Linked DNA regions of Anolis sagrei. The protein of the gene in region 1 interacts with the protein of each later gene in a pairwise test. Links are inferred from orthologs where the notes say so. Each region holds a gene or a part of one and is shown in the gene's direction. Other genes may lie near its edges.

The links.
Region 2: the proteins of U2AF2 (region 1) and SUGP1 interact in binary tests that used the Homo sapiens proteins (3 or more experiments, as listed by UniProt). The link is inferred for Anolis sagrei from reciprocal best matches to the Homo sapiens genes U2AF2 and SUGP1.
Region 3: the proteins of U2AF2 (region 1) and PRPF3 interact in binary tests that used the Homo sapiens proteins (3 or more experiments, as listed by UniProt). The link is inferred for Anolis sagrei from reciprocal best matches to the Homo sapiens genes U2AF2 and PRPF3.
Region 4: the proteins of U2AF2 (region 1) and KHDC4 interact in binary tests that used the Homo sapiens proteins (3 or more experiments, as listed by UniProt). The two-hybrid records come from large-scale screens. The link is inferred for Anolis sagrei from reciprocal best matches to the Homo sapiens genes U2AF2 and KHDC4.

Annotation. Positions count from the first base shown.
Region 1 is NC_090026.1:17,873,448-17,881,149, forward strand, and holds the start of U2AF2 (splicing factor U2AF 65 kDa subunit), read left to right. Parts: upstream 1-4,677; 5' UTR 4,678-4,979; coding exon 4,980-5,028; intron 5,029-7,702. UniProt on the Homo sapiens protein: Plays a role in pre-mRNA splicing and 3'-end processing. By recruiting PRPF19 and the PRP19C/Prp19 complex/NTC/Nineteen complex to the RNA polymerase II C-terminal domain (CTD), and thereby pre-mRNA, may couple transcription to splicing.
Region 2 is NC_090034.1:50,625,067-50,633,279, reverse strand, and holds the start of SUGP1 (SURP and G-patch domain-containing protein 1), read left to right. Parts: upstream 1-5,002; 5' UTR 5,003-5,062; coding exon 5,063-5,183; intron 5,184-6,628; coding exon 6,629-6,800; intron 6,801-8,213. Other genes in the region: MAU2 chromatid cohesion factor homolog, read right to left, coding at 80-145, 508-525, 4,388-4,852.
Region 3 is NC_090032.1:6,002,484-6,010,240, forward strand, and holds the start of PRPF3 (U4/U6 small nuclear ribonucleoprotein Prp3), read left to right. Parts: upstream 1-4,751; 5' UTR 4,752-4,874; intron 4,875-7,757. Other genes in the region: MRPS21 (small ribosomal subunit protein bS21m), read left to right, coding at 765-945. UniProt on the Homo sapiens protein: Plays a role in pre-mRNA splicing as component of the U4/U6-U5 tri-snRNP complex that is involved in spliceosome assembly, and as component of the precatalytic spliceosome (spliceosome B complex).
Region 4 is NC_090032.1:14,755,494-14,763,283, forward strand, and holds the start of KHDC4 (KH homology domain-containing protein 4), read left to right. Parts: upstream 1-4,618; 5' UTR 4,619-4,715; coding exon 4,716-4,762; intron 4,763-7,787; coding exon 7,788-7,790.

The DNA of each region.
Region 1 (7,702 bases):
CCGGCATGACTGCATGGAACGTTGTTACCTTCTTGCCAAAGCAGTACCTATCGATCTACTCACATTTGCATGTTTTCGAACTGCTAGGTTGGCAGAAGCTGGGCTAACAGCTGGAGCTCATCCTGCTCCTTGAATTCGAACCGGCAACCTTTCGGTCAGCAAATTCAGCAGCTCAGTGGTTTAACCCACTGTGCCACCGGGGGCTCCCGGTAAATAGTTAGAAGTTGGGAAATGCATTTCCAAAGGGCCATAACGTCAAGTGAGGATGCAGTGGTCACATTTTTAGTCCTACTACTTAGTCTCCTTACAAAGTGTTTCTTGATGGAGGATTCAGACACTTCATGTACCATGCCATTATTCCATTGTCTTCTCCAGCCAGCTGAGTAATTAGACTAGACCTGAGAAGGCATATGGCTGGGTACCATTGCTCACCTTGCTTTGATGCTTTATAAGAGTTCTCTCCCTTCGGCTTTTCACTCTAATCTTCCTAAAACTGGAGGGATTAACTGCACTGTTCTGAGGTCTCCAGATACTTTCCTGCAACGACCCAAAACATTCCCATGCCCTGCCCATGTCCCATATCTTTTACCTCATAGTTGTGCCAGGCTTTTTCTTTCATTTCTGTGTGCCTATTACTGGCACACAAACAGGATTCTTTGTTTTGCTGCCAATTTTTGGTCATTTTCATTCTTTTTTTTTTTTGCTCCTTTTGTGTGAGCACTAATCATATACAGACTTGGTGCAGGCTTTGTCAACTGAGGCTGTTCAGGTGTTTTGGACTATCAATCCCATCACTAGCAAGGTGAATAGTTGACTATGATGAAGACTGTAGTCCAAAGTATCTGGAGGATGTAATTTGAGGAGGCTGATCTGCACATTTATGTCTTCAAGATACCACTGCGGGTATGTATGACAAAGACTGAATACAAGGATGTCATCAGTTTGCCTCTGGTTTTTGGGAATGCACTCTTGTTATTCAGTGTAATTAATGGGTTGTTTCCACTGTGCCTGTAATTTTTAACCCTGCCCCCTTTCCTCTTGTGTTTAAAAATATTTAAAAAAATAAAAAGTTTCAAATTCTATTTACTAAGATTTAAATTAAACTGTGTTTTGAATAAAAGTGAACAATGTCTGTGATGTATCTATTTATCTATAAATTGGTATTTCACTGCCTCTTTGGGAATGAACAAGGAGATTGGATTGGAATTCACAGCCAAGTATGTATTTTCTAGAGATCCTTGGATAAGTTCGGATTTAGTTATCAAACTGTGAAATGAAAACATTAATAACCTGGCATCACAGTTGAATTATGAAGGTAACATACAATATTCTGAAAGGAACATAGCTGTACAAAACATTTCTGTAACTTCACTAGGTGCATTTCTGTAACTTCACTGAATGGCTCATATTTGGAAGTGACTGGCAATCCATACCGTATAAGAATGCAAAGCCTCTGTTGGGTTACAACTCCTAACAGCCTCAGCCAACACTGTCAACAATGAGGGATGAATAGTCTGAAATCAACACTTGGAGGTCTACATATTTCCTCCACCCTACAATGAAAGATACATCAGGCATCCTTGGAGATTCATAGCCTAGTTAATCAGGATATGCATGCCAAGGGATCCTTATGGCACCTTTGAGATTAAGGCCACATATACACTACTACAGTATACAATGCAGTTTCAGACTGCAGTTCAATGGCATTGAAGTGCATTATATGGCAGTGTGGACTCAAAAAACCCCCGTTCAATGCAGTTAAACTGCATTCTGAAACTGGATTCTATTGCAGTGTATATGGGGGCTAACTCAAAACATTGGTAGCATAAGCTTTTGTGGATCAAGGCTGCATCAACACTGCAGAAGTGCAACAGTTTGATACTGTTAGGGAAAACTACCCAAAAATATAGCAGAGCATCCAAAACACAAACAGGATACTTAAAGTTGAGCAATCAGCCCACAGCAAGCAAAGCATGAAGTTGGGTTGTTGTAGATTTTTTCGGGCTATATGGCCATGTTCTAGAGGCATTTTCTCCTGAAGTTTCGCCTGCATCTATGGCAAGCATCCTCAGAGGTAGTGAGGATGCTTGCCATAGATGCAGGCGAAACGTCAGGAGAAAATGCCTCTGGAACATGGCCATATAGCCTGAAAAAAACTACAACAACCCAGTGATTCTGGCCATGAAAGCCTTCGACAATACAAAGCATGAAGTGCCATGTGATGTGGCTGCAAGGAATTTAGAACTTATGATGCAAAGATGCAGAATCTTGTCTTTAAAAAAAATCACAAAAAGTTTAACTATATTTCTTAAAAGTAAAGAACTGGGTCTGAGCTACTCTTAACACCCATCTCGTCTAAGGTTTCAAAGAGAGGGAAAAATCATCAACCACTACATCTCTCTTGACATACAAAGATCTCAATACACACAGCATATTCAAAGATGTAAAAGTAGAAGGTAAGGTCTTCAGTAGAAAAGTATAAATTATACACAACCAATTTTAGCAGAAACAGAGGAGAGCACAAATAGTTACATTCCAACTGTCATATAAGAGACTTGGGGGGGGGGGGGGGGAGGAAACCCTCAGCCTATTCTAAGTTAATTTTTCCTCGTTGAGGACTGGAGACTTAGGCAGTGTGGGGTTGAATTGCCGCAATGCTATGGAATTCTGGGGTGTGTAGTTTAGCAAGGTATTTTTCTTTTCTTTCAGAGAGCTCTGGGGCTACAGCAAACTACAATATCTAAGATCCCATAGGTTGGAGCTGTGGAGATTAAAGTGGTGTCAATCTGCATTCATTCTACAAGTCCTAGTAGCACTTTAGCACAATTAACACTACTGCACACCGTACTTTAATCCCTACGCCCCTCCTATCATTTCAGCACTTTTAACCTTGTACCCCTCTCGCCGGCCGAACCAGTTTTAATATGTCTTGATGTATTGTTATTGCTGTCTTGCCAATTTTTGATTTTGATTTGCTTTTTGATTTTGATTTGTTTTGTTATTGCTTGTTATGTTCTCTATTGTATTGTGTTTTGTGGCTTCGGCCTTTGTAAGCCGCATCGAGTCCTTTGGGAGATGCTCGCGGGGTACAAATAAAGTTAATAATAATAATAATAATAATAATAATAATAAATGCACCCTTAATTTATTCCATCAGAAGGCACAAGATTCCTTTGGGTGTCTCCTATCTTTGTAGTTCTCCATATTTTAATTATGCAGAAGTTAGGTGTTTTTAAAATAATCCGTTGGATTGAGGTGGTGGAGGAATGTATATTTTATTTATATTTGGAGAATTTATATTTTCTCCATTTAGTAGCATAAACGACAGGAAGTTGCCCTTCTAAGATCCAGAAACCGGAAATGCTTAATTCATTTGGGGGAAAAGCAATGGCACCAAATATGAATTAAGCTAATGAAATAAAAGGCTGAATGCTTTTGGGAGAATATAAAAATAAATTATATATTTTTATATTATATTTTCCATTACTTCCACCACGTGGTGGACTGGCTCCCTTTTGTGTCCAAATTTCTCCCAAAAAAAAAAAGAGACCCAAAGCAATTAAAGGGCTGGGTTGCTGTGAGTTTTCCGGGCTGTATGGCCATGTTCCAGAAGCATTCTCTCCTGATGTTTCACCTACATCTATGGCAGGCATCCTTGCTGTGAGTTTTCTGGGCTGTATGACCATGTTCCAGAAGCATTCTCTCCTGATGTTTCACCTACATCTATGGCAGGCATCCTTGCTGTGAGTTTTCTGGGCTGTATGACCATGTTCCAGAAGCATTCTCTCCTGATGTTTCACCCACATCTGTGGCAGGCGTCCTCAGAGGTTGTGAGGTCTCTTGGAAACTAGAGAAATTGAGTTTATATATCTGGATGTTGCAATTGGCCGCCTTGATTCGCATTTAATGGCATTGGAGTTTCAAGGTCTGGCTGCTTCCTGCCTGGGGGAATTCTTAGTTGGGAGGTAATAAGCTGGCCCTGATTGTCGAAGGCTTTCATGGCTGGAATCACTAGGTTCTTGTGGGTTTTTTCGGGCTATAGGGCCATGTTAGAGGCATTTCTCCTGACGTTTCGCCTGCATCTATGGCAAGCATCCTCAGAGGTAGTGAGCTGGCCCTGATTGTTTCTTGTCTGGAATTCTCCTGTTTTTGAGTGTTGCTCTTTATTTTGATTTTAGAGTTTTTAAAATACTGGTAGCCAGATTTTGTTCCTTTTCATGGTTTTCTTTCAGAAATGAACAAAATCTGGCTACCAGCATTAAAAAAACTTTAAAATAAAAAAACAGGAGTATTTCTCAGGATGCCTGCCATTGATGTAGGCGAAACGTCAGGAGGGAATGCTTCTGGAACATGGGCATACAGCCCGGAAAACTCAGCAACCCAGCGATTCCGGCCATGAAAGCCTTCTACAATACAGGGTTAGTCAAAATGCATAGGCCAATAAGCCATTCAATTGAATGGCTTATTGGCCTATGCATTTTGACTAACCCTGTACATTCAACTAAAGGGCGTCTGGTGGAAAAACCCAATAGCCCCGGAACCAATCGTTCGCTTTCCCTATTGTCAACATAACACAATGCAGGGAGGAGCCAAGAGCATGCGACACTCGAACACGGGCAGAGGAAGTGACGTTGGGAGGAAAAACCCGAACCTCTCCGGAAAAAGCCGAAGATGCTTTACAGGCGGGAGTGAGACGAGGCGGAGCGACCGCGAGGACGAGAATCGTGAGAGGAGGCTCTCTCGAATATAGCCGAACATTTCCGTCAGCACACGAACCTTTACGGAAAAAGCCGAAAAGGGAGTGACCGAAGTAGAGACGCGCCTTCGCACGCAGCCGAGCCTTTCCGTAACCAACCGAAGCCCTTGCCGGAAGTTGCCGAACTCAAGGAAAGGCGCCGTTGCGGCCTACTGCGTGAGGCGGCGGTGAAGCAAGCGGGCAGAAGAGCCAGGCCGGGCTTGAGTCTTATTATTCCGTCGCCATGTCCGACTTCGACGAGTTCGAGCGGCAGCTTAACGAAAACAAACAAGGTAAGCGAGCGAACGAGAGAGAGAGAGAGAGGTGGGCAGGGCGTGAGGGCGTCGAAATCCCGCCTGCTTCGGACGCGCCCCCCTTGGTGAGAATGGAAGGGCCCGTTTACCTGAGGCGGGCGCTACCATATGGCTGGGCCTATGCGGCGGGGGAGGGGGGGCGGGTATTGTCCTTCTTGTTAGCCAACTTCGCCTTTCTCCTCTTTCGCCTGATTTCCCGGGAGGCGAGCTATGGAGGCAGGCATGGCCGTTGGTGGCTCTGCGCACGCCTTTAACGGGGCGGGAGAAGGGAAGGCCGGGCCTGGCACCATCGCTCTCCCTCCTGGCGCCTTTTCTTTACTCTCTGGGAAGAACAGGGACAAAGGAGGGCCTTGATCTGGCTGATTGGGAGATTGCCACGCGGGAGTACACCACCAAAGTACTCCCGACAGATGGCCACCTGCTTAGAAACCTCCACAGCAAGCCTGGACCAACTTGGGCCTTCCTCCAGGTTTTTTGGACTCCAACTCTCACAATGTTCTCTCGAGGAAGTAGACTACAGAGTCACGCTGGAGGATCCAGCATGAGAAAATCTCTCTAGGTCCTCCAGTGCATTTCTGTGGCCAGCTTTCAGCGGAATACGACCACAGAGTTGTGCTGGAGGACCTAGAAAACCCCTAGAAAGATTTTCCCGGGGGTCCTGTCCATCTTACCCCAATAATAATAGTAATAATAATACCTCCAGGTTTTTTGGACTCCAACGCTCACAATATTCTCTCTAGGAAGTTGAGTATAGAGTCATGCTGGAGGATCCAGCATGAGAAAATCTCTCTAGGACTCTCTAGGTCCTCCAGTGCATTTCTGTGGCCAGCTTTCAGCGGAATATAACCACAGAGTTGTGCTGGAGGACCTAGAAAACCCCTAGAAAGATTTTCCCGGGCGTCCTGTGTGTCTTACCCCAATAATAATAATAATACCTCCAGGTTTTTTGGACTCCAACTCTCACAATGTTCTCTCTAGGAAGTTGACTACAGAGTCATGCTGGAGGATCCAGCATGAGAAAATCTCTCTAGGACTCTCTAGGTCCTCCAGTGCATTTCTGTGGCCAGCTTTCAGCGGAATATGACCACAGAGTTGTGCTGGGGGACCTAGAAAAACCCTAGAAAGATTTTCCCTCAGGTGAGAAAAAATTGCAATTTTTCAATTTTATTTATTATTTATTTATTTATGGCATTTATATCTCGCCCTTCTCACCCCGAAGGGGACTCAGAGCGGCTTACAATATATATTTTCATACAATATATTATATTATTAGCATAGTACAATATCAGTATATATTACTATATTGCACAATACCGTTATATTGTAGTATTATTAGTAATATTACATGTAATGTAAATATATAATTATAATTATAATATTGAATTATTATTACTAGTATTATATTATATTACATTATAATATTATAAATATTATATGTATATACAATATACTATATTATATTATTAGTAAAGACAAGATGGAAGTGTCTTCTGCTGCCTTCTGTCTTTGCTCTGGCCAGAACAGCCGTTAGTGCCAGAAGGGGGAGGGGCCTCTCAAGTGATGATATAGGCAGAAGACAAGATGGAAGTGCCTTCTGCTCCCTTCTGTCTTCACCTTTTGCGGGGGTCCTGTGTGTCTTACCCCAATAATAATAATAGTAATAGTAATACCTCCAGGTTTTTTGGACTCCAACTTTCACAATTTTCTCTCTAGGAAGTTGACTATAGAGTCACGCTGGAGGATCCAGCATGAGAAAATCTCTCTAGGACTCTCTAGGTCCTCCAGTGCTTTTCTGTGGCCAGCTTTCAGCGGAATATGACCACAGAGTTGTGCTGGAGGACCTAGAAAAGCCCTAGAAAGATTTTCCCTCAGGGGAGAAAAAATTTGCAATTTTTCAATTTATTATTATTATTATTATTATTATTAACTTTATTTGTACCCCGCTAGCATCTCCCGAAGGACTCGATGCGGCTTACACAGGCCAAGGCCTCAATAAAAACAACAACATAACAATACAATGATGTCCTTGGGGAGGGTGTTCCAAAGTCGGGGGGCCACCATAGAAAAGGCCCTGTCCCTCGTCCCCACCAAACGCGCCTGCGACGCAGGTGGGATCACGAGCAGGGCCTCTCCAGATGAACGAAGGGAACACGTGGGTTAATAGACGGAGATGCGGGTGTCCTGTGCATCTTACCCCAATAATAATAATAAACTATTTGTACCCCACTACCATCTCCCCAAGGGACTTGGTGCGGCTTACATGAGGCCGAGCCCACAATACATCAGCAAAAACAACAATAGCAATACAAACAATCTGAAACTCAAAAACAAAAAACAGCAGTAAACATTAACAATAGCACAACAACACATTAAAACCTATGGCTGGGCCAAATGTAATAATTTTTTTTAAAAAAAATAATGCTGAGCATGACCAGGTGAAATATGTAACTAGGATAGAATTTCGGAGAGGAAAGGGGTGTGAAGACAATCCTAGAACATTGATAAAGTGCATTTAGGGACATATTGCTAGGAGTTTCCTTATTCTGGGAAGGCACACTAGAACAGCCATGTCTTCAGGCTCCTCCTAAAGACTGCCAGAGTTGGGGCATGCCTGATGTCCTTGGGGAGTGAGTTCCAGAGTCGAGGGGCCACC
Region 2 (8,213 bases), on another chromosome or scaffold:
CTGAAATGAGGCATTTGTTTAAACCTCCTTTAACCACAACTCTCACAAACTACTGGCACAAAAAGTTATCTCCACCTACCTCTTGGCAATACAACTCAGACAAAAGGCTGGCGGCTTCAAATTTAACATCTTCAAACTGTGGGATCTGGTAGCATTCATATGTTAAGCTAACATACTATTTTCTTGTTTGCTTGTTGTATTGGAACTGTGCAGTTTTACAACTGCAAAGGACTTTGAAGGACACCCAATCCGTGTTGATAGTAAATGCAACATCTGCCTCAAAAGAGACAAGCTTCTGCTTAAATGCTTCCAAGGAAGGGATATATTGAGACTATAATGCAGAGGCGATTCCCAAAATAAACAGAAGAATGACATTTCTCATAACTTGGACCAACATGTGGAATCAGTGAGTGTTTTGTTCATGTATAATTATCTCATGCTAATTTTGGGTGAAAAGTCAATTTGGGACAATCTCAGCTTTCCTAAGACTAGGACAAAAAAGGATACATGCTGCGATATCAGCCACTGTAAAAGAGAAAAACAAAACATTGTTGGAATCTATGCAAAAGGAGCTACAACCACCATTATCTCATAGCCCTGAGCCATGGCAATTCTACTGGTATCAAACTGCATTAATTCTGTGATCTAGATGCACTTTCAGACAGACAGCGATGAAACAACTAGATAAGAATCTGAAATGCAAAGATATACAACTGAAATGTTTTCGTATCAGCATTCTTCATTGTTGAGGTCTCAATTCCATACATGGGAAATATGATGGTACGACTATCCTTGGTGCTTATAATCCATATCAGTGGTTTTCAAAGTGTACTCTACATACTGTGGTGTGGTGGAGGCTCCTTCTTTGGAGGCTTTTAAACAGAGACTGGATGGCTATCTGTCGGGGGTGCTTTGAATGCGATTTTCCTGCTTTTTCGCAGGGGGTTGGACTGGATTGCCCACAAGGTCTCTTCCAACTCTATAAATCTATACTGAGGGGCTCCATTCATCCCTCCTTGCCCTCCCCCTTCCAGTTCCTTTCCCTCCCCCTTCACATACCCAAAACCTTTTTTCCTTGCTTCCCCGCTCCCAAAAGTTTTCCTAACCCTCCTCGCTGCCCAGATCCTTTCTCCCTTGCTTTGCTTGCTTCCCAAACCCTATTTCCCTCCCACTATTCAAGGAGTGCTTTGTGCTTTTCCTGCATGGCAGAAGGGGGTTGGACCGAATGGTCCCTGGGGTTGCTCTTATTACCATTCCTATTAGAGCAATAATAAACAATGCAAATGATAATCGGAAAGGCTTCTGGATTATGTTTTTGGATTATGCAATTTTAAGTAATTGTTTTAAGCGATATTTTTAACAATGTATTTTTAAAGTATATGTTGCTTTAATTTATATGTGTTCAAGGCATCGAATTGTGCCTTTGTTGTGAGCTGTCCTGAGTCCCCTTCCAGTGTGAAGAGGGCAGGATATAAATGTGGTAAATAAATAAAGATTACTACTACTATTATTATTAAAGGCTGGGTGGCCGCTGGGGTGACAAAGGTGGCTGCCATTTGTTGGGGGTGCTCTGATTCTGCTTTTCCTACATGGCAGAATTAAGGGAGTTGGACTGGATGACCGCAGGGGTTGCTCCTATTACTGCTACTATTATTATTATTATTACTGCAAAGGCTGGATGGCTCCTATTACTAGTAATATTATTACAAAGGGTGGGTGGTCATCTGTTGGGGGTGCTTTGATTGTGTTTTTCTTGCATGGCAGAATAAAGGGGGTTGGACTGTATGGCCCCTGGGGTTGCTCCTATTATTACTACAAAAGGTGGGTAGACATCTGTTGTGGATGATTTCATTGTGCTTTTCCTGATTGGCAGAATAAAGGGGGTTGGACTGGATGGCCTCAGGTTCCAATTACTATTCTTATTATTACTACTACAAAGGGTGGTTGCCATCTGTTGGGAGGGGGGGTGCTCCTATTACTATTCTTATTATTACTGCAAAGGCTGGATGGCCTCTGGGGTTGCTCCTATTATTATTACAAAGGCTGGGTGGCCATTTGTTGGGTGTACTTTGATTGTGCTTTTCCTGCATGGCAGAATAAAGGGAGTTGGACTGGATGGCCTCTGGGGTTGTTCCTATTACAAGTGTAAGCTGTCCTGAGTACCCCTCTGGGAGTTGAGTAAGATGGGGTAGAAAATGCTGGAAATAAACAAATATTATTATTACTACTGCAAAGGCTGGATGGCCCCTTGGATTGCTCCTACTACTATTATAATGCAAAGGCTGGATGGTCCCTGGGGTTGCTCCTATTACTATTATTATTGCAAAAGCTAGGTGGCCATTTGTTGGGGGTGCTTTGATTGGATGGCAGAATAAAGGGGGTTGGACTGAATGGTCCCTGGGATTGCTCCTGTTATTATTATTACAAAAACTCGGTGGCCATCTGTTGGGGGTGCTTTGATTGTGCTTTTCCTGCATGGCAGTCCCCCTTGTTTGACTGAATGATTGCCAAACTGGAAGCCACTCCGAGTCCCCTTCGGGGTGGAGATAGAACGGGGTAAAATATATATAAATAAAATTATAATGTTCGTTTGTGGGATTAACAGAACTCAAAAACCACAGGAGGGAATTGACACCAAATTTGGGCAGCATACACCTAACAATCCAATGTATGTCCTTCACTCAAAAAATTGAGTTTGTCATTTGGGAGTTGTAGTTGCTAGGATTTATAGTAGTACACCTACAATCAAAGAGCATTCTGAATTCTACCAATGATGGAATTGAACCAAACGTGGCACACAGGACTCCCACAACCAAGAGAAAATACTGGAAGGGTTTGGTGGGCATTGACCTTGAGTTTGGGAGTTGTAGTTCACCTATATTCATAGAGCACTGTGGACTCAAACAATGATGGATCTGGACCAAACTTGGCATGAATATTCCATAAGCCCAAATATAAACACAGATGGAGTTTTGGGAAAATAGACCTTGACATTTGGGAGTTGTAGTTGCTGGGATTTATAGTTTACCTACAATCAAAGAGCATTCTGAACCCTACCAACGACAGAATTGGGACAGACTTCCCACACAGAACCCCCATGACCAACAGAAAATACTTAAGGCCATCCAGTCCAACTCCCTTCACCAGGCAAGAAAACATTATCAAAGCCCTCCGGACAAAGAGCCATCAAGCCACAGATAGAGATACATAGTATTATTCACACACACACGGTGAATCATATATATTCACAGGGGTTTAACCCGGTGGCGCAGCGGGTTAAACCCCTGTGACGGCAGGACTGAAGACCGACAGGTCGCAGGTTCAAATCTTAATGAGGTTCAAATCTTAATGAGACATGCCGCATTATCACGGGGTGTCTGCGCCCTACACCACTGGAGAAATTACACTGCTTAGCTGGTATTGCACCACCTGATATCCGCCGGGAAGTAGCAGCCAGCATGTCAACGACTTAAATGTAGACATAATTTTCTAAGATCTACAGAGACACTCGCTGGAACACCTCAGCAAGCGGGAGTCCAAAAGTGGCAGGCTCAAATCCAGAACCTCAACCAATGGCTGATACCAAATGAGAGACTCCTCCCTGGCACACAGAGGACTGGGCGACTTGGAAGGCGCTGAACAGACTGCGCTCTGGCACCACGAGATGCAGAGCCAACCTTCAGAAATAGGGCTACAAAGTGGAATCCTCGACATGCGAATGTGGAGAGGAGCAAACCACAGACCACCTGCTGCAATGCAACCTGAGCCCTGCCACATGCACAATGGAGGACCTTCTTGCAGCAACACCAGAAGCACTCCAAGTGGCCAGATACTGGTCAAAGGACATTTAATCAACTACCAAACTCAAAAATTTTGTATTATGTCTGTTTGTTTGCTTTGTTCTGTTAGAAATATGATATAATTGACTGGCTGCCCTAACACGAAATAAATAAAAAATTCCGAGGAGAGGCGGATGAGCTCCCTCTATCAACTCCAGCTCCTCATGCGGGGACATGAGAAAACCTCCCACAAGGAAGATAAAAACATCAATTCATCCGGGCGTCCCCTGGGCAACGTCCTTGCAGACGGCCAATTCTCTCACACCAGAAGCGACTTGTAGTTTCTCAAGTCGCTCCTGACACGACAAACAAACAAACCAGATATAGCATCATAGATTTGAAAGGGACCTCCAAAAGAAGGACAATTATATGTTGCATGTTCCAGAGTAGTCAAACCAGACACTCTCCACATCAACACTGACAAAGAAAGAACAAGAAATACTGTTTACCCACAAGCACAAAGAAATTACATATATTAGAAACCAACACTTTCTGGTTACTTTATTTTCCAGATCACCAGACAGCAAAGCATGTAAAGAAATACTCACGGCCTTCTCGAGGTGTCCGCGGGCCTGCTCTCCGTTGCGGGTGTGGTGGTAAAGGACGGAGCCGAGCTGGAGGTGGGTGCGGGCCTCGACGCGGGCCGGGGGCTTGCGTGGCAGCACGGCTTGGAGGCAGTGGACGCAGAGGCGCACTTTGGGCGGGCTGGAGGTGCGGAAGTGCTCGGCCAGGCCCAGCAGCGCCACGTACCACGACTCCGACGAGGACGGCGAGGCCCCGCCGCCAGAGGAAGAAGCCGAGGACGAAGACCCGCCCGAGCCAGGGTTGTTGCCCCCGGCTGGAGCGGCCTCGGAGCCGGCCTGCTGAGGTGGCGCCGTCGCGCTACTCCCTCCCGGAGGCTGAGGCGCCGAGGCCGACGAAGACGGAGCCACCGCCACTGCGGACGACGTCGACGTTGGCGTCGAGGCCGAAGACACCGCCGTCTCCGCTCCCGAAGCTCCCACCGCCGCCATCTTGGATTTACCTCAGCCGAAGACCCGAATGACGGCCACTGCGCCTGCGAAAAAACCCGTCCTTGCCGAGTTGGCCAATCGGAGGAGAGGACGGCTGCGCTGGGACGCACGCGCAATTCGGGCTCTGCTGCGACGCATGCGTAGTCTGGAGGTCCCTTGTTTATCTCAGCGAACACAAAAGGAGCTTGGCTTGGGGGGAGGAGACAAGAAATGCTGTCTTCTCGCGAGAGTTGGCAGATAATTCTATTAAGAGCTTGGGCTGGTGCGCGTGCGGCATTGTGGGAGAAAAGGAACTTCCTGAGAGACATGGAAGGAGGCAGAGAAGCGCCAGGTGAGTCTTTTTCCCCTACACGCCCCTCCCACCTCCATCCAGGTGGGTCCCAATGGCCCACCTGGCCTCCCTAGAAGCTCCTTTGCCTTTCTCCCGTGAAATCAACAGGCTTCCTCTCTCAGGTAGGGCCTTGTTGTCTAGGCCATTCCCTCATTGTGTTATCGAAGGCTTTCATGGCCAGAATAACTGGATTTCCCCCAAACAGGAAGCAGCGAGGCTTTGAAGCTGCAAGGCTATTCAGTGGAAGGCTATTCATATGCCTGCCACTTGCCACTTGCCTTATTTATATATTTATTTATTTACTTTGCTTATATACCGCTGTTCTCAGCCCAGGGGCGACTCACAGCGGCGTACAACATAGAAAGAACAAGGTTCAGAATACAAGACACAATATAAAATAATCCACAGTCCATCATTAACAAAAAAACATCATCATCAGAAAACATCATCATTACTACAAAAGCCATTCCGCGTCGTCTCATCATCAAAACCACAATCCAGTATAATTATCCGTTGTTCCATTCCTATAGTCAATTACCAATCATTGCACTTCTTGTTCGAACGCCTTCTTAAACAGCCAGGTCTTTAATTTCCTGCGGAATATTATCAGGGAAGGAGCCAGTCTGATGTCCACGGGAAGGGTGTTCCACAGCCGAGGAGCCACTACTGAGAAGGCCCTATCTCTCGTCTCCGCCAGCCGTGCCTGTGAAGCAGGCGGGATTGAGAGCAGAGCCTCCCCGGAAGATCTCAAAGTCCTCGTGGGCTCATAGGTCGAGAGGTGGTCAGTTAGGTATCTTGGGCCGGAACCGTTTAGGGCTTTATAGGCCAATGCCAGCACCTTGAATTGAGCCCGGTAGCAGATCGGCAGCCAGTGGAGCTGGTACAACAGGAGGGTTGTATGCTCCCTGCGTCCCGCTCCTGTTAGTATCATGGCTGCCGCACATTGGACCAGTTGGAGCTTCCGGGCCGTCTTCAAAGGCAACCCCACGTAGAGAGCGTTGCAGTAGTCTAAACGGGATGTAACCAGAGCGTGGACTACCGTGGCCAAGTCAGACTTCCCAAGGTACGGGCGCAGCTGGCGCACGAGCCTAAGCTGTGCAAATGCTCCCCTGGTCACCGCCGAAACCTGGGGCTTCAGGCTCAGCGATGAATCCAGGATCACACCCAAGCTGCGAACCTACGCCTTCAAGGGGAGTGCGACCCCATCCAGTACATTTCCAACAGACCTCTTAAGATGCCAGCCACAGCTGTGTGCGAAATGTCAGGAGAGAATGCTACTAGAACATGGCCAGACAGCCTGAAAAACTCACAGCAACCCAGTGATTCTGGCTATGAAAGCCTTCAGCAACATATGCCCATGTTGATAGGAGGGAAACCTCAATCTCTTTGTGTGGTTTTTGTGAGCCTTGAGCCTCCCATGTTTTTCCTTTCTCCTGTTTGACCAGGCAAAGTCAGCCGGTGGTTTGGCGTCACCATGCCCAAGTCGATGAAGACCAACGTGAACATCCTCCATCAGGAGAAGCTGATTGCCCAGAAGAAGCGGGAGATCGAGGCCAAGATGGAGCGGCAGGCCAAGCAGAGTCACTTGGCCCGGCAGCAGTCCTCACAGGCCAGCGAGTCCGTAGGAGTTGGGGCAAGGGGGGCGCTTGCTTGCTTGTTTACTTTTTGATAGGTTTATCTATGATCTTTCCAACATTGCATGCAAGACTTACAAGCATAGGCCAAAGCAGTGGTCTCCAAACCCAACTTCAAGTTTCCAAAATTGTAGGATCATATAATTCTAGAGTTGGAAAAGACTCCAGGGCTATGCAGCCCAAACCCCTTCTGCTAGGCAGGAAGACACCATCCAAGCCCTCCTGACAGATGACCATGAAACCTCGTAGACACCATTAGGTTCACGGAGGCAATAGAATCCTGAGTTGGAAGAGACCACAAAGGGGCATACAGTCCAACCTCATTCTGCTAGGCAGGAAGACACAATCAGATTTATTTTATTTTTATTTACTTATGTCAGAAGAAAATTGAGAATACAGTTATAATATTTTTTAAAATCCACAAACAAAGTTAGAAAGCTTGGCATTATGCTAAATTTTCTTTGGCCAGAAGCTGGCCCCTTGGGGTGCCTCTGGTGTCGCTGTGAGAAGGTCCTCCATTGTACATGTGGCCGAGGTTAGTCTGTATTGCCACAGGTGGTCTGTGGTTTGCTCTTCTCCACACTCGCATGTCACGGACTCCACTTTGAGTCCCCATTTCTTAGCGTTGGCTCTGCATCTCATGGTGCCAGAGTGCAGCCTGTTCAGTGCCTTCCAAGTCACCCAGTCTTCTATGTGCCTAGGAGGGAGTTTCTCATTGGGTATCAGTAAGTGATTGAAGTTCCATTTTTTTTCCTGCCACTTTTGCACTTTCGCTTGTTGAGGTGTTCCTGCAAGTATCTCCATAGATCTTAGAAAGCTGTTTCTTGATTTAAATCATTGGCATGCTGGCTGCTATCCAAACAGAGAATGGGCCAGAGATGTCAATGTCTTGATCCTTTCATTACTAGCTGCTACTTCCCTGAGGATATCAGGTGGTGCAATACTGGGTAAACATAATTTCCCCAGTGGTGTAAAGCATAGACATTCTGTGATGTCACGTCCACTCTTATAACATGTTGAAATGTATTCCACACTGGGCATGTGTACTCAGCAGCAGAGTAGCAAAGTGCAAGGGCAGATGTCTTCACTGTGTGTGGTTGTGATCCCCAGGTTCTGCCAGTCAGCTTTTGTATGTTATTGTTTCTAGTACTCAGTTTTTGCTTGATAGTCAAGCAGTGCTTCTTGTAGGTCAGAGCATGGTCCAGAGCAACTCCCAGGTATTTGGGTGTGCTTCAATGCTCCAATGGGATTCCTTCCCTGGTCATCCTCAGAGCTCGAGATGCTTATCTGTTCTTAAGATGAAAACTACACGTCTGCATTTTAGATGGATTAGGAATCAGCTGGTTTCCCCTGTGATAGCCAGTAAGAGCACCTAAAGCTTCGGAGAACTTCTGTT
Region 3 (7,757 bases), on another chromosome or scaffold:
CAAGGTGGACCCTGCTCAAGGTGGACCCTTGTCAAAGTGGTCCCTGGTCAAGGTGGTCCCTGCTCAAGGTGGACCTTGGTCAAGGTGGTCCTTGCTCAAGTGGTCCCTGGTCAAAGTGGTCTCTGGTCAAAGTGGTCCCTGATCAAGGTGGACCCTGCTCAAGGTGGCCCCTGGTTAAGGTGGACCCTGCTCAAGGTGGACCCTTGTCAAAGTGGTCCCTGGTCAAGGTGGATACTGGTCAAGGTGGTCCCTGGTCAAGGTGGCCCCTGGTCAAAGGGGTCCCTGGTCAAGGAGGTCCCTGGTCAAAGTGGCTCCTGGTCAAAGTGATCCCTGGTCAAGGTGGTCCCTGGTCAAGGTGGACCCTGTTCAAGGTGGATCCTGCTCAAGGTGGACCCTGCTCAAGGTGGACCCTGGTCAAAATGGCTCCTGGTCAAGGTGGCCCCTGGTCAAGGTGGTCCCTGATCAAAGTGGTCCCTGATCAAAGTGGTCCCTGGTCAGGTGGTCCCTCGCCAAGGTGGTCCCTCGTCAAGGTGGTCCCTTGACGAACCACTGATCTAGACACTAGACGTCTATTGATGCATCCTAGAATCACATTGGCCTTTTCAGCTGCTGCATCACACTGTTGACTCATGCAGAAAAAATACAGAATAGTATATACATTTAGGGGGTGTTGTTGTTTCTTATTGCGTCTGGAGGGAAGGCAAGTAAGCATCCGACTCGATCTGTGCTCTTTGACAAGGGGTCTCCTTTCTCCTCTTCTCCAGGGTCCTCACCATGGATGGGATCATCGACGAAGCCAAGCGGCGGCGGTATTACGAGAAGCCGTGCCGCAGGAGGCAGCGGGAGACCTACGAAGCGTGCCGGAATATATATAACACGGAAATGGCTCGGAAGATCAGCTTCATCGCACGCAAGAATCGCGCAGACCCTTGGATGGGTTGCTGAACTCAAGGGTTTTCCGTATTGGAGACCTAACAGCGCATTCCTTTTGGTGGGATTGTTTTGAACCCCCTTAATCATCAGAGTATCTTGGTTTCTTTTTACAGTCTGAAAAATGATGACGCCAATAAAGCCCTTGTGAAAAATCACTTGGTGATTGTGGGATTTCTAGTGGGATGTCCTCATGGTGTTTGATTTTTAAGGGGAGCAATTCGTTAAAATTATTTACATACAATATTTATAATATTATAATATAATGCAATATGATACTACTACTGATATATGATATTATAATTGTATATTTATATTCCATGTAATATTAGTAATAATATTACAATATAATGGTATAGTGCAATATAGTAACATTTAGCAATTCGTTAAAATTATATACATATAATATTTATAATATTATAATGTAATGCAATACATTACTATTAATAATAATATAATATTATAATTATATATTTATACTCCATGTAATATTACTAATAATATTACAATGTAATGGTATAGTACAATAAAGTAATTTTTAGCAATTCGTTAAAATTATATACATAAAATATTTATAATATTATAATGTAATGCAATATAATACTACTACTACTAATATAATTATATATTATTATTTTACTAATAATAATTTTAATATAATTATATATTATTATTTTACTAATAAAAATAATATATCATAATTATATATTTATATTCCATGTAATATTACTAATAATATTACAAAATAAAGGTATAGTACAATATAGTAATATTTAGCAATTTGTTAAAATTATATACATAGAATATTTATAATAATATAATATAATGCAATATAATACTATTAATAATAGGATATTTATATATTTATATTCCATGTAATATTACTAATAATATTACAATATAATGGTATAATACAATATAGTAATATTTAGCAATTCGTTAAAATTATATACATAGAATATTTTTAATATTATAATGTAATGCAATATAATACTAATAAAATTAATATATCATAATTATATATTAATATTCCATGTAATATTACTAATATTACAATGGTATAATACAATATAGTAATATTTAGCAAAATTATATACATATAATATTTATAATATTATAATGTAATGCAATATAATACTAATAAAATAATGATATTATAATTATATATTTATATTACATTTAGTATTATTAATAATATTACATTATAATGGTATAGTAATATTTAGCAATTTGTTAAAATTATATACATATAATATTTATAATATTATAATGTAATACAATATAATACTACTAATAATTATTATATTATATATTTATATTCAATGTAATATTACAAATAATATTACAATGGTATAGTACAATATAGTAATATTTAGCAATTTGTTAAAATTATATACATAGAATATTTATAATATTGTAATGCAATATAATACTAATAAAAATAATATATCATAATTATATATGTATGCTCCATGTAATATTACTAATAATATTACAATATAATGGTAAGAGAAAGAAAGAGAAAGGAAGAGAAAGAGGGAGGGAAGAAAGAAAAAGAAGAGAAAAGAAAGACAAGGGAAGGAAGAAAAATGAAAAGAAAGAGGGGGAAGAAAATAAAGGAAGAGGGAGGAAAGGGAAAAGAAAAGGAGAAGAAAGAAAAGGGAAGAGAAAGGGGAGTGAAGAAAGAAAGAAGAGAAAAGAAAAAGGGGAGGGAAGAAAGGAAAGAGGAAAGAAAAAGAAGGAAAAAGAAAGAAAAGAGGAGGAGGAAGAAAGAAAAGGGAAGAGAAAATGGCGGGAAGGAAAGAACAAAAGGAACAAGAGGGAGGGAAGCAAGAAAAAAAGAGGGGAAGATAAAGAATGAAGAGAGAGGGAAGAAAGAAAAAGAAGGGAAGAGAAAATGAAAGGAGGGAAGGAAGAATTAAAAAGATGGGAAGGGAAAGAGAAAAAGGAAAAGAGGGGGGAAGAAAAAGAAAAAGGGAAGGAAGAAAGATGAGAAGAAGAAGAAAAGAGGGAGGGAACAATGAGTAGAAGAGGGAGGGAATAAAGAAGAAGTGAAAGATAAGATAGGAGAGGGGGGCAGAAAGAGAAAAAGATGGGAAAAAACAAAGTAAGGGGGAAGAAATAAAAATAAGCAAAAGAGAAAGAAAGGAGAGGGAGGGAAGAAAAGAAAAAAAGGGAAGAGAAAATGAAGAAAAGGGAGGGAAGAGAAAAAAGGAAAGAAGAGAGAAGGAAGAATTAAAAAGATGGGAAGAGAAACAGAAAAAAGGAAGAGAGAGAAGAAAGAAAAGGGGAAGAAAGATGGGAAGAGGAAAGAAAGGGAGGAGAAAAAAATGAGAGAAAGGGAGGGAAGAAAGAAAAAGATGAGAAGAGGAAATAAGGGGGAAGAAAGAAAATGGAAGCAAAGAGAAAGAAAGGAGAGGGAGGGAAGAAAGAAAAAGGAAGAGAAAGGAAAGAAAGAGAAGGAAGAATAAAAAGATGGGAAGAGAAAAAGGAAGAGAGAGAAGAAGGAAAGGTGGGAAGGGGAAAGAAGGAGGGGAAAAAGAAAAACGAGAAAGGGAGGGAAGAAAGAAAAAAGGGAAGCAAAAACAAAACAAGAGGGAGAAGCAAAGAGAAAGTAAGTAGAGGGAAGAAAGAAATAAAAAGAAAGGAAGAGGGAGGGAAGAAAGAAAAAGAAGGGAAGAGAAGGAAAGGAGAGGGAGGGAAGAAAGAAAAAGAAGGGAAGAGAAAATGAAAAAGGAGGGAGGGAAGGAAGAAAAAGAAGGGAAGGAAGGAGATGGAGGGAAGAAAGAAATAGAAGGGAAGAGAAAATGAAAAAAGGGAGGGAAGAAAGAAAAAGAAGGGAAGAAAGGAGAGGGAGGGAAGAAAAAAGAAGAGAAGGAAGGAAGAAAGAAAGAAAAAGAAGGGAAGAAAGAAAGAAAAAGAAGGGAAGAGAAGGAAAGGAGAGGGAGGGAAGAAAGAAAGAAAAAGAAGGGAAGAGAAGGAAAGGAGAGGGAGGGAAGAAAGAAAAAGAAGGGAAGAGAAGGAAAGGAGAGGGAGGGAAGAAAGAAAAAGAAGGGAAGAGAAGGAAAGGAGAGGGAGGGAAGAAAGAAAGAAAAAGAAGGGAAGAGAAGGAAAGGAGAGGGAGGGAAGAAAGAAAAAGAAGGGAAGAGAAGGAAAGGAGAGGGAGGGAAGAAAGAAAAATAAGGGAAGAGAAGGAAAGGAGAGGGAGGGAAGAAAGAAAAAGAAGGGAAGAGAAGGAAAGGAGAGGGAGGGAAGAAAGAAAGAAAAAGAAGGGAAGAGAAGGAAAGGAGAGGGAGGGAAGAAAGAAAAAGAAGGGAAGAGAAGGAAAGGAGAGGGAGGGAAGAAAGAAAGAAAAAGAAGGGAAGAGAAGGAAAGGAGAGGGAGGGAAGAAAGAAAAAGAAGGGAAGAGAAGGAAAGGAGAGGGAGGGAAGAAAGAAAAAGAAGGGAAGAGAGGGAGGGAAGAAAGAAAGAAAAAGAAAAGAAAGATGGGAAGAGGAAAGAAAGAAAGAAAGAAAGAAAGAAAGAAAGAAGGAGGGAAGAAAGAGAAAACGAAGGGAAGAGAAAGGAAAGAAAGGAAGAAGGGAGGGGAAGGTGTTCTCCATGTGTTTTGGACTTCAACTCCCACCATTCTTTACAGTCTATTAGGATTTGAGGGAGGAAGGCCCAAGTTTGGCCTGACATACAGACTAGGCTTAACTATTGGAAGAAAAGGAGAGCGCCTCCAGCCAATCAGAGCCGCGTCGCCATGGCGACCCCGCTGCGGCGGAAGAGGCGGGGCTTTCCTGGCCGCGGAAGTCCCGCCTCCGAGCGAGAGTAGGGAAAACGTACGCCTCCAGCAAGCAGCTTCCGCTTCCGCTGGGCGACGACCTCGCAGCGCCGTCGAGGGAGCGGGTCTGGAGAGGAGAAGGAGGCGGGAAGGAGGCGGAAGGAGACTCCGAGGACGGGTGAGCCAGGCGGGGAGGCCGCGGAGGCGCCTCAGGGGGAGGAAGGCCCGGCTCCTTCCTGAGGGAAAAGGGGCAAGGCCTGAGGAGCCCCTCAGAGCCGGGCCCTCACCTAAGGGGGGGATGGAGAGGCCTGCCTGGCAGTGGCAGGTTCAGAACGCCTTTAGAGGAGAATCTTCTCTTGTGGGAGACAACCAGGTGCCATTAGTGGGTTGCTGTGCGTTTTCCGGGCCACGTTCCAGAAGCATTCTCTCCTGACATTTCTCCCACAATAATAATAACATCACACAGTCCTAGACACTTGGGAAGTGTTTGACGTGTGATCCAATTCAAGAGCTAGCAGAGTGTCTGCTGTGGACTCATCTTGTTGTGTTTCTAATAATAATAATAATAATAATAATAATAATAATACATCACACAGTCCTAGACACTTGGGAAGGGTACGACGTCTGATCCAATTCAACAGCCACTGTGGACTCATCTTGTTGTGTTTCTAATAATAAATATAATAATAATAATAATAAATAGTCCTAGATACTTGGGAAGTGTCCGACATGTGTGATCCAATTCAACATCCAGCAGAGTGTCTGCTGTGGACTCATCTTGTTGTGTTTCTAATAATAAATATAATAATAATAATAATAATAATAATAATAAATAGTCCTAGACACTTGGGAAGTGTCCGACATGTGTGATCCAGTTCAACAGCCAGCAGAGTGTCTGCTGTGGACTCATGTTGTGTTTCAAATGATAATAATAATAATACATCACACAGCCCTAGACACTTGGGAAGTGTCCGACGTGTGATCCAATTCAGCAGCCAACAGAGTGTCTGCTGTGGAGTCATCTTCTTGTGTTTCTAATAATAATAATAACAATAAATACATAATAATAATAATAATAATAATATTAATAATACATCACACAGTGGTAGACACTTGGGAAGTGTCCGACATGTGATCCAATACAACAGCCAGCAGAGTGTCTGCTGTGGACTCATCTTCTTGTGTTTCTAATAATAATAATAATAATAATATATCACACAGTCCTAGACACTTGGGAAGTGTCTGACGTGTGATCCAATTCAACAGCCAGCAGAGTGTCTGCTGTGGACTCATCTTCTTGTGTTTCTAATAATAATAATAATAATAATAACAACAATAATTCTTTATTGATTAGTCAATTTTGACCATATCAAAACATACAAAACATACACACTTGCCCATACATACAGTAAAACCATATATGAATACAAGGCATCCCGGCCTACTAGCCTGTCAACCCACTCCTAAATGATTGTGCAACTACAAGATAAAAAAAATAAAAGATTAAAAATTGATTAATTCCTTAAAGTAGGGTTTGGGCAGGGGCGCGGGTAGGTAAAACTAGTGGCATGTCCATATTAAGTTTTTAAGCTTGAATTTTGTTGATGGCAGCAAGGTCACCTCTATCTGCTTCCATCTTCTCGTGGATGGCCAGTGCTTTTTGCGTAAACAGGGTCAATTTTAAAATAGAGTTTTAATCTGAACTCTGTAGGAAGATGTGCAATTTCTCCTTATTCTCTAAATGAGTAAATTATAATAATACATCACACAGTCGTAGACACTTGGGAAGTGTCCGACGTGTGATCCAATACAACAGCCAGCAGAGTGTCTGTTGTGGACTCATCTTGTTGTGTTTCTAGTAATAATAATAATAATAATAATAATAATAATAATACATCACACCGTCTAGTAGTAGTAGTAATAATAATAATAATAATAATAATAATACATCACACCGTCCTAGACACTTGGGAAGTGTCCAACGTGTGATCCAATACAACAGCCAGCAGAGTGGCTTCTTGTGTTTCAAATAATAATATAATAATTGAGATGCCAAACGGACAAACCATAAAGTGCAATCAGCCCGAAGCCTATAAATATCTGGGGATACTATAGTTAGACAATATCAGGCATGAGCATGTGAAAAAGTTGGCCACCAAAGAATATATCCAAAGAGTCAGAAAGATTTTGAAGAGCAAGTTAAATGGCGGAAATACGATCAAGGCTCTCACCCCTGGGCCATCCCTGTCATTAGATACACTGCTGGGATTGTGAACTGGACACAAGCAGAGCTGGATGATCTGGACAGAAAAACCAGGAAACTGATGACAATCCACTCCTCATGACACCCGCATAGTGATGTCAACAAACTTGACCTGCTCAGAAAATCAGGAGGCAGAGAGTGGGCTTCTGCAAGTGAAACAAACAGTAGAAGAAGAGAAGCATGCCCTGGCAGATGATGGGAAAGGCAGTCAAGAACCAACATTGAGGGAAGTCAAGAGTAGTAAACCGCTTCAAGTGCAAAAGACAAAGAGGGAATACCGTAAAAACACAATCCAGAGCAGAAGAGAAAACTGACCAAAGAAGGCTCTCCATGGACAATACCTGGGAAAAATTGAGAGCCAAATTGACAAAGAAAAAACATGGCTGTGGCTCAGAAATGGGACTCTGAAAAAGGAGACAAAGGAGGGCCTGATTCTGGCAGTCCAAGAACAAGCCATTAAAACCAAGGCCATCAAAGCCAGAATTGAAAAGTCGACAACAGATCCCAAGTGTAGACTCTGCAAGGAAGCCGATGAAACAATAGATTTCATCCTGAGCTGCTGCAAGAAAATTGCGCAGACAGACTACAAGCAGAGGCATAACACCATTGCTCAGATGATTAATTGGAACTTGTGCCACAAAGACCATCTGCCTGCGACAAAGAACTGGTGGGATCACAAGTTACACTAAACAAACACGTCAAACTCATCTGGGACTTCCGAATTCAGACTGACAGAGTTCTGGAGCAAAATACTCCTTGACGTCACAATTATTATTATTACTACTATTATACTGTGAG
Region 4 (7,790 bases), on another chromosome or scaffold:
AAGATAAGGGTCTTTTCATGATTGCTGATTGCTTTTCCAGAGGCAGGGATTGTAGATTTCCCCAAAGGAGAGGGGAGGGGGGCAAAAGGCTCAGGGCAAGGTCAAATACATTTATTTAATTATTATTTACTTTATTTGTATACCGCTGTTCTCAGCCCTTAGGCGACTCACAGCGGTTAACAACAGAACAGCAAAACTTCAATGCTACAATAACACGGTATAAAAACAGTTAACATCATAACACATTATACAATAATATACAGTTAACAACAATAGCCATTCACTAGCGTCTCATCACTAAAAACATGATCCAGATCCGTCATTCATTGTTCCATTCCTATGTTCATTACACTCATTGCACTGACTATTCGAACGCCTGCTCAAACAACCAGGTCTTCACTTTTTTGCAGAATACCATTAATGATGGAGCTAGTCTAATATCCATAGGAAGGGCGTTCCACAGCCGAGGGGCCACCACCGAGAAGGCCCTATCTCTCGTCCCCGCCAGCCGTGCCTGTGAGGCAGGCGGGATCGAGAGCAGGGCCTCCCCGGAAGATCTCAAAGTCCTGGTGGGTTCATAGGCAGAGATGCGGTCGGATAGGTAGCTTGGGCCGGAACCGTTTAGGGCTTTAAAGGTCAACGCCAGCACTTTGAATTGGGCCCGGTAGCAAATCGGTAGCCAGTGGAATTGGCGCAACAGGGGGGTTGTATGCTCCCTGCGCTCCGCTCCTGTTAGAATCATGGCTGCCGAACGTTGGACTAGTTGAAGCTTCTGAGCAGTCTTCAAAGGCAACCCCACGTAGAGAGCGTTGCAGTAGTCTAAACGGGATGTAACCAGAGCGTGGACTACTGTGGCCAAGTCAGACTTCCCAAGGTACGGGCGCATACACGAAGGGAAATATAGAAATACAGGAGAAAATATGAAACAATAGAAATCATAACACAGAGAGTAAACCCAGCTACCTTCCCTCAGTGTCCATAGTTCATATTATCCATAGGAAGGTCCATAAAGGGAAATATATCCACGAGGGGGAAAGAGAGTCCCTTGTTTGTGAGATGGGGGACCATCATGTAGCATGATTTTCATGTAGCATGATTTTCAGTAATAAATTGGTTACTTTCTGCTGTAAACATATGAAAATAGAGCATAAAGCCTTGATTAAATGATACACACCAAACTAACCCTTATTATCCAGCCTGGTGTCCTTGCCCTTGGCAAAACTATAAGTTACTATCTCTTATGGGGGGGGGGTCATGTTCGACTACACTGCCATACAGCAATTCAATTCAGTTGGATGTACATCGCTGTAAACAAGCACAGGCATCAGCTCTACGTAGCGAGTATCTCTGCTTTCCATCATGAGTTCTAAGGACCTGGTGCTAAAATAAACCTGAGCTGTGAAACCAAGGGAAGTGAGTCACTCTGAGTCGTTCCTTTGACTTTGGTGGTGTCTCCTCCGCAATGCATTTCTGTCCGTGTTCCTTATCACAAATAATGTAAAGGAAGCATGTAAACAGACTCGATTGTGGGGAACTTTCCATCAGATAAATTCATGCTGCTCTTCCCTTCTGTCTTAATGTTCTTGCCTTCAAGAATGGTGTACGAACATGATTAAATAGTATTAATACTTTCCTACCCGGTTGCAGTTTATTTAGATGTCTGTCCAGGAAGCCTTTACGTTGACCACAAATCCAAACCCAAGCTCCGAGAATAATCTCATAAAATAATTGGTATTTATTTTATTTATCGTGTCAGGAGCAACCAGACATTTATATTACATTTTTAAACAAAACAAACAGAAAAACACAAACTTTGCACACTTGGTGGTTGATTAAATGTCTTTTGACCAGTATCTGGCCACTTGGAGTGCCTCTGGTGTTGCCGCAAGGAGGTCCTCCATTGTGCATGTGGCAGGGCTCAGGTTGCATCGCAGCAGGTGGTCTGTAGTTTGGTCTTCTCCACACTCGCATGTCGTGGATTCCACTTTGTGGCCCCATTTCTAAAGGTTGGCTCTGCATCTCGTGGTGCCAGAGCGCAGTCTGTTCAGCGCCTTCCAAGTCGCCCAGTCCTCTGTGTGCCCAGGAGGGAGTTTCTCATTTGGTATCAGCCATTGGTTGAGGTGCTGGGTTTGAGCCTGCCACTTTTGGACTCTTGCTTGCTGAGGTGTTCCAGCGAGTGTCTCTGTAGATCTTAGAAAACTATTTCTAGATTTAAGTCTTGACGTGCTGGCTGATACCCAAACAGGGGATGAGCTGGGGATGTCTCTGCCTTGGTCCTTTCACTATTGGCAGATGTCAGGTGGTGCAATACCGGCTAAGCAGTGTAATTTCTCCAGTGGTGTAGGGCGCAGACACCCCGTGATAATGCGGCATGTCTCATTAAGAGCCACATCCACTGTTTTAGTGTGGTGAGATGTGTTCCACACTGGGCATGCGTACTCAGCAGCAGAGTAGCAGAGCGCAAGGGCAGATGTCTTCACTGTATCTGGTTGTGATCCCCACGTTGTGCCCGTCAGCTCTCGTATGATATTGTTTCTAGCACCCACTTTTTGCTTGATGTTCAGGCAGTGCTTCTTGTAGGTAAGAGCACGGTCCAGAGTGACTCCCAGGTATTTGAGTGCTCTGCAGTGCTCCAGTGGGATTCCTTCCCGGGTAATCCTCAGAGCTCGGGATGCTTGTCTGTTCTTGAGATGAAAGGCACATGTCTGTGATTTGGATGGGTTGGAGACCAGCTGGTTTTCCCTGTAATAGGCAGTAAGAGCACCTAGAGCTTCGGAGAGCTTCTGTTCAACCATCTCAAAGCTGCCTGCTTGAGCGGTGATGGCACGATCATCAGCATAGATGAAACTCTCTGTCCCTTCTGGCAGTGGCTGGTCATTTGTGTAGATGTTGAACATGGATGGAGCAAGCACGCTCCCCTGAGGCAGGCCGTTCTTCCGTTTCCGCCCTCTGCTTCTCTGGCTCTGGAACTCAACAAAAAAGCTCCTGTTTTGTAGCGGCTTTCCTATGAGGCGGGTGAGGTGGTCGTCCTTTGTGATATTATACATTTTTCTCAGGAGGAGGCGGTGGTTTACAGTATCATAGGCTGCTGACAAGTCTATGAAGACAGCTCCTGTGATCTGCTGCCTTTCAAAGCCATCTTCTATGTGCTGAGTCAGGTTCAGCACTTGCGATGTGCAGCTTTTGCCTTTCCTGAAGCCAGCTTGCTGTGGGATCAGACAGGGGTCTATATTTTCCGTTATTTTCTGCAAAATAAGTATTTCCAGAACTTTGTAGAGGTGGCACAACAGGGAGATTGGTCTGTAGCTTTTTGGATCATTACGGTCTTTGCCTGGCTTCAAGATGGCGATGACTCTTGCTTTCCTCCAGATTTTGGGGATCTGACAGGATGCCGTGCAGTTGTTCATCAGCTCCAGCAGCCAGCGCCTTGCTTTTGGACCAGAGTTCTTGATTTGTTCCATTCGTAGATCATTCAAGCCCTGTATAAATATGTGAGAGTTGACAAGCTGGAATGTGTCCAGAGGAGGGCAACTAAAACGATAAAAGGTCTGGAGAACAAGCCCTATGAGGAGCAGCTTAAGGAGCTGGGCATGTTTAGCCTGAAGAACAGAAGGCTGAGAGGAGACATGATAGCCATGTATAAATATGTGAGAGTTGACAAGCTGGAATGTGTCCAGAGGAGGGCGACTAAAATGATCAAGGGTGTGGAGAACAAGCCCTATGAGGAGCGGCTTAAGGAGCTGGGCATGTTTAGCCTGAAGAAGAGAAGGCTGAGAGGAGACATGATAGCCATGTATAAATATGTGAGAGTTGACAAGCTGGAATGTGTCCAGAGGAGGGCGACTAAAATGATCAAGGGTGTGGAGAACAAGCCCTATGAGGAGCAGCTTAAGGAGCTGGGCATGTTTAGCCTGAAGAAGAGAAGGCTGAGAGGAGACATGATAGCCATGTATAAATATGTGAGAGTTGACAAGCTGGAATGTGTCCAGAGGAGGGCGACTAAAATGATAAAAGGTCTGGAGAACAAGCCCTATGAGGAGCGGCTTAAGGAGCTGGGCATGTTTAGCCTGAAGAAGAGAAGGCTGAGAGGAGACATGATAGCCCTGTATAAACATGTGAGAGTTGACAAGCTGGAATGTGTCCAGAGGAGGGCGACTAAAATGATCAAGGGTGTGGAGAACAAGCCCTATGTGGAGCGGCTTAAGGAGCTGGGCATGTTCAGCTTGAAAAAAAGAAGGCTGAGAGGAGACATGATAGTCATGTATAAATATGTGAGAGGGTGGATTCTATATGTTGCAATACATGATTCTATATGTTGCCTGTTCCAGAGTAGGCAAACCAGACAATCTCCACATCAACACTGACAAAGAAACAGAAAGAAATACTGTTTACCCACAGGCATAGATTAGAAACCAACACTTTCTCATTACTTCATTTTCAAGACCACCAGACTGGGCCACAGCAACGCCTGGCAGGGGACAGCTAGTATAGGGATACCTTTCTTCCTTTCCTTCAGTGATTTCCCTTTAAATCCCACAGAAACCGGAAGCTCCGCCCACAAGCGCGTCACTCTTCGTCGCCAGGGCAACTACCGGAAGTTACATCACGGAAGCTGCCTGCAAGGAGTCGGAAGTGACGTAGCAGGGGATTTTTCTTCCCCCCTCAGCGCTGGGGACGGCGACGGTGGCGGCGGCCTAAGCGGGGCTGCGTGAGCCATGTCAGCGGGCGGCGCGGGGCAGCGCGAACCCGGGGCTTCGGGAGGGTAAGGAAGCGGAGGTGGAGGAGGCGGGACCTCGGGCGGCAGCACGGGAGAGGCCTGCTGAGGGAGGGCCTAGGCCAGATGGCCTACTCTTCGCCCATGAGCCAGCCAAAAGGCCTTTGCTTTCTCTGGACTCCTGGGGGGTCATAAGGACGTGTCAGAGGGGTCGCCAAAGACTATCAAAAACACAGCATTGGCCATCTGGTTTCCATGTGGGAAGGTTGGCCCAATTCTATCCTTGGCAGGGTTCAGGATGCTCTTTGATTGTAGGTGAACTATAAATCCCAGCAACTACAGCTCCCAAATGTCAAGGTCTATTTTCCCCAACTCCACCAGTATTCACATTTGGGCATATTGTGTATTCGTGCCAAGTTTGGTCCAGATCTATCATTGTTTGCATCCACAGTGCTCTCTGGATGTAGGTGAACTATAACTCCCAAACTTCAAGGTCAATGCCCACCAAATCCTTCCGGTATATTTTGTTCGTCATGGGAGTTTTGTGTGCCAAGTTTGGTTCAATTCCATCATTGGTGAAGTTCAGGATGCTCTTTGGTTGTTGGTGAACTATAAATTCCAGCAACTAAAACTCCCAAATGGCATCACTCCCCCCCCCCCCACCCCAAAGAGCCAGCGTTGTCCATAGACACCTCCAAGGTTATGTGGCCAACTTCCCAATATTTAAACATGGTCCTCATCTCCCCTCTTAGCTTTCTTTTGTCCAGACTAAATATTCCCAGCTCCCTAAGCTGGCTACATCCCATATAGACTACTGCAACACACTCTACGCGGGGTTGCCCTTGAAGACTGCTCGGAAGCTTCAAATGATCCAACGAGCGGTAGCCAAATTGCTCTCTGGAGTGGCATTCAGGGAGTATACAACCCCTCTGTTACGCCAACTCCACTGGCTGCCCGTTTGCTACCAGGCATAACTCAAAGTGCTGATTTTATCCTATAAAGCTGTAAACCAGGGGTCCCCAAACTACGGCCCATGGGCCACTTCCGGCCCGCCAAGGGCACTTATCCGACCCGCGGAGGAGGAGCGCCCCCCTCCCCAGTGCCCCTACCTTGGCTGGCTCACGCTATCCGTCAGGCCCAATGGGCAGGGTGAGCCAGCCAAGGGCAGCTGCTCAGCGTGGCCTACTTGCGTGTAAAGCACATCGTGAGGTGTTTTACTCGCAAGTAGGCCGTGCGGGGCTGCTCCTCCCTTGGCAGGCTCACGCTATCCGTCAGGCCCGATGGGCAACGTGAGCCAGCCAAGGATGCTGCCCCAGCGCTCCATGCAGTCATGCCGGCCACATGGCCTTGGAGGTGTCTACGGACAACGCCGGCTCTTCGACTTAGAAATGCAGATGAGCACGCACCCCAGAGTCAGACACGACTGGACTTCATGTCAGAGGAAAACCTTTAACTAGGAAAATTGTGGAAGATCCAGGGTGGGAGAAAGAACTCTTGTCTGTTGGAGGTAGGTATCAATGTTTCAATTGGCCACCTTGATTACCATTTCATAACCTGACAGTTTTTAGGGAGAATCCTTTGTTGAGAGGTGATTAGCTGGCCCTGATTGTTTCTTGTCTGGAGTTCCCCTGTGTTTGAGTGTTGTTCTTTATTTACAGTTATAATTTTAGAGTTTTTTAAATACTGTTAGCCAGATTTTGTTCAGACTAGAAATAGGAAGATTTCCCATTTTCTGCTTCTGAAATTACTGCCTAAAGAGGGCTAATAAAATATGTGCAATGTGCATAGGAATTTTTTTATTGATGTTTTTTAAAAAAAACTATAGTCCGGCCCTCCAACGGTCTGAGGGACAGTGAACTGGCCCCCGGTTTAAAAAGTTTGAGGACCCCTGCTCTAAACAGTTCTGGCCCAGCTTACCTGTTCGAACATATCTCTCCGTATGAACCATCTAAGAGGTTAAGTTCGTTCGGGGAGGCCTTGCTCTCGATCCTGCCTTCTTCGTAGGCGTGACTGGAGGGGATGAGAGACAGGGCCTTCTCAGTGGTGGCCCCTCAGTTGTGGAACACCCTTGCCAGGGATATTAGATCAGCCCCCTCCCTCTTGACCTTCTAGAAAAAAAGTGAAAACGTGGCTATTTGAACAAGCCTTCGGAATTTAATGCAACAGTCAAACACGGTATTAGACGAAAGTGGACATTGGAACGTCTAAGATGACGATTTATGGACAGTGAAGACCTTGGTTTTGTATGTTTTATTGAATGTATTTTTAATTCTGTTAATTGTTAGGCATCGAATAGCTGCCTGGTTGTAAGCTGCCTTGAGTTACCTTCGGGTTTGAGAAAGGCAGGATAGAAATATTGTAAATAAATCAATAAGCCGTTCCTCATAGGGCTTGGCTTCTAGACCTTTGACTATTTGGGTCATCCTTCAATGGATTGCTTCCATCTTTTCAAAATCCTTCTTAAATTGTGGAGCTGGATATAGTCTTCCCAATGAGGTCTGAGCAAAGCAAAATAGAGGCAGACTATAATTTCCCTTGATCTAGGTATTGTATAGAGCCCCCATTGGTGCAGCGGGTTAAATTGCTGAGCTCTGAACTTGCTGACCGAAAGGTTGGCAGTCTGAATCCGGGGAGAAGGGTGAGCTCCTGCTATTAGCCCCAGCTTCCGCCAACCTAGCGGTTTGAAAACAAGCAAATGTGAATAGATCAATAGGTACTGCTTCAGCAGGAAGATAACTGCACTCCATGCAGTCATGCCAGCCACAGGACCTTGGAGGTGTCTATGGACAACGCTGGCTCTTTGGCTTAGAAATGGAGATTAACACCATCCTCCAGAGTTGGACCCGTCTAGACTTAATATCAAGGGAAAACCTTTACTTTAGGCACTGTATTCCCATTAATGTAGCCTAGAAGCTCATTGGCCTTTTGAGCTGCTGCATCACACTGTTCACTCATCTTCAGTGTGTGGTCTCCTCAGACTTCTCCCATCCTATAGTAGTGCCTTTCCTTTGTGTTGCCCTAAGATGGGTAAGCAACGGGAGAGGAATCCTAAAGACTTCCTTGAATCTTTCAGGCG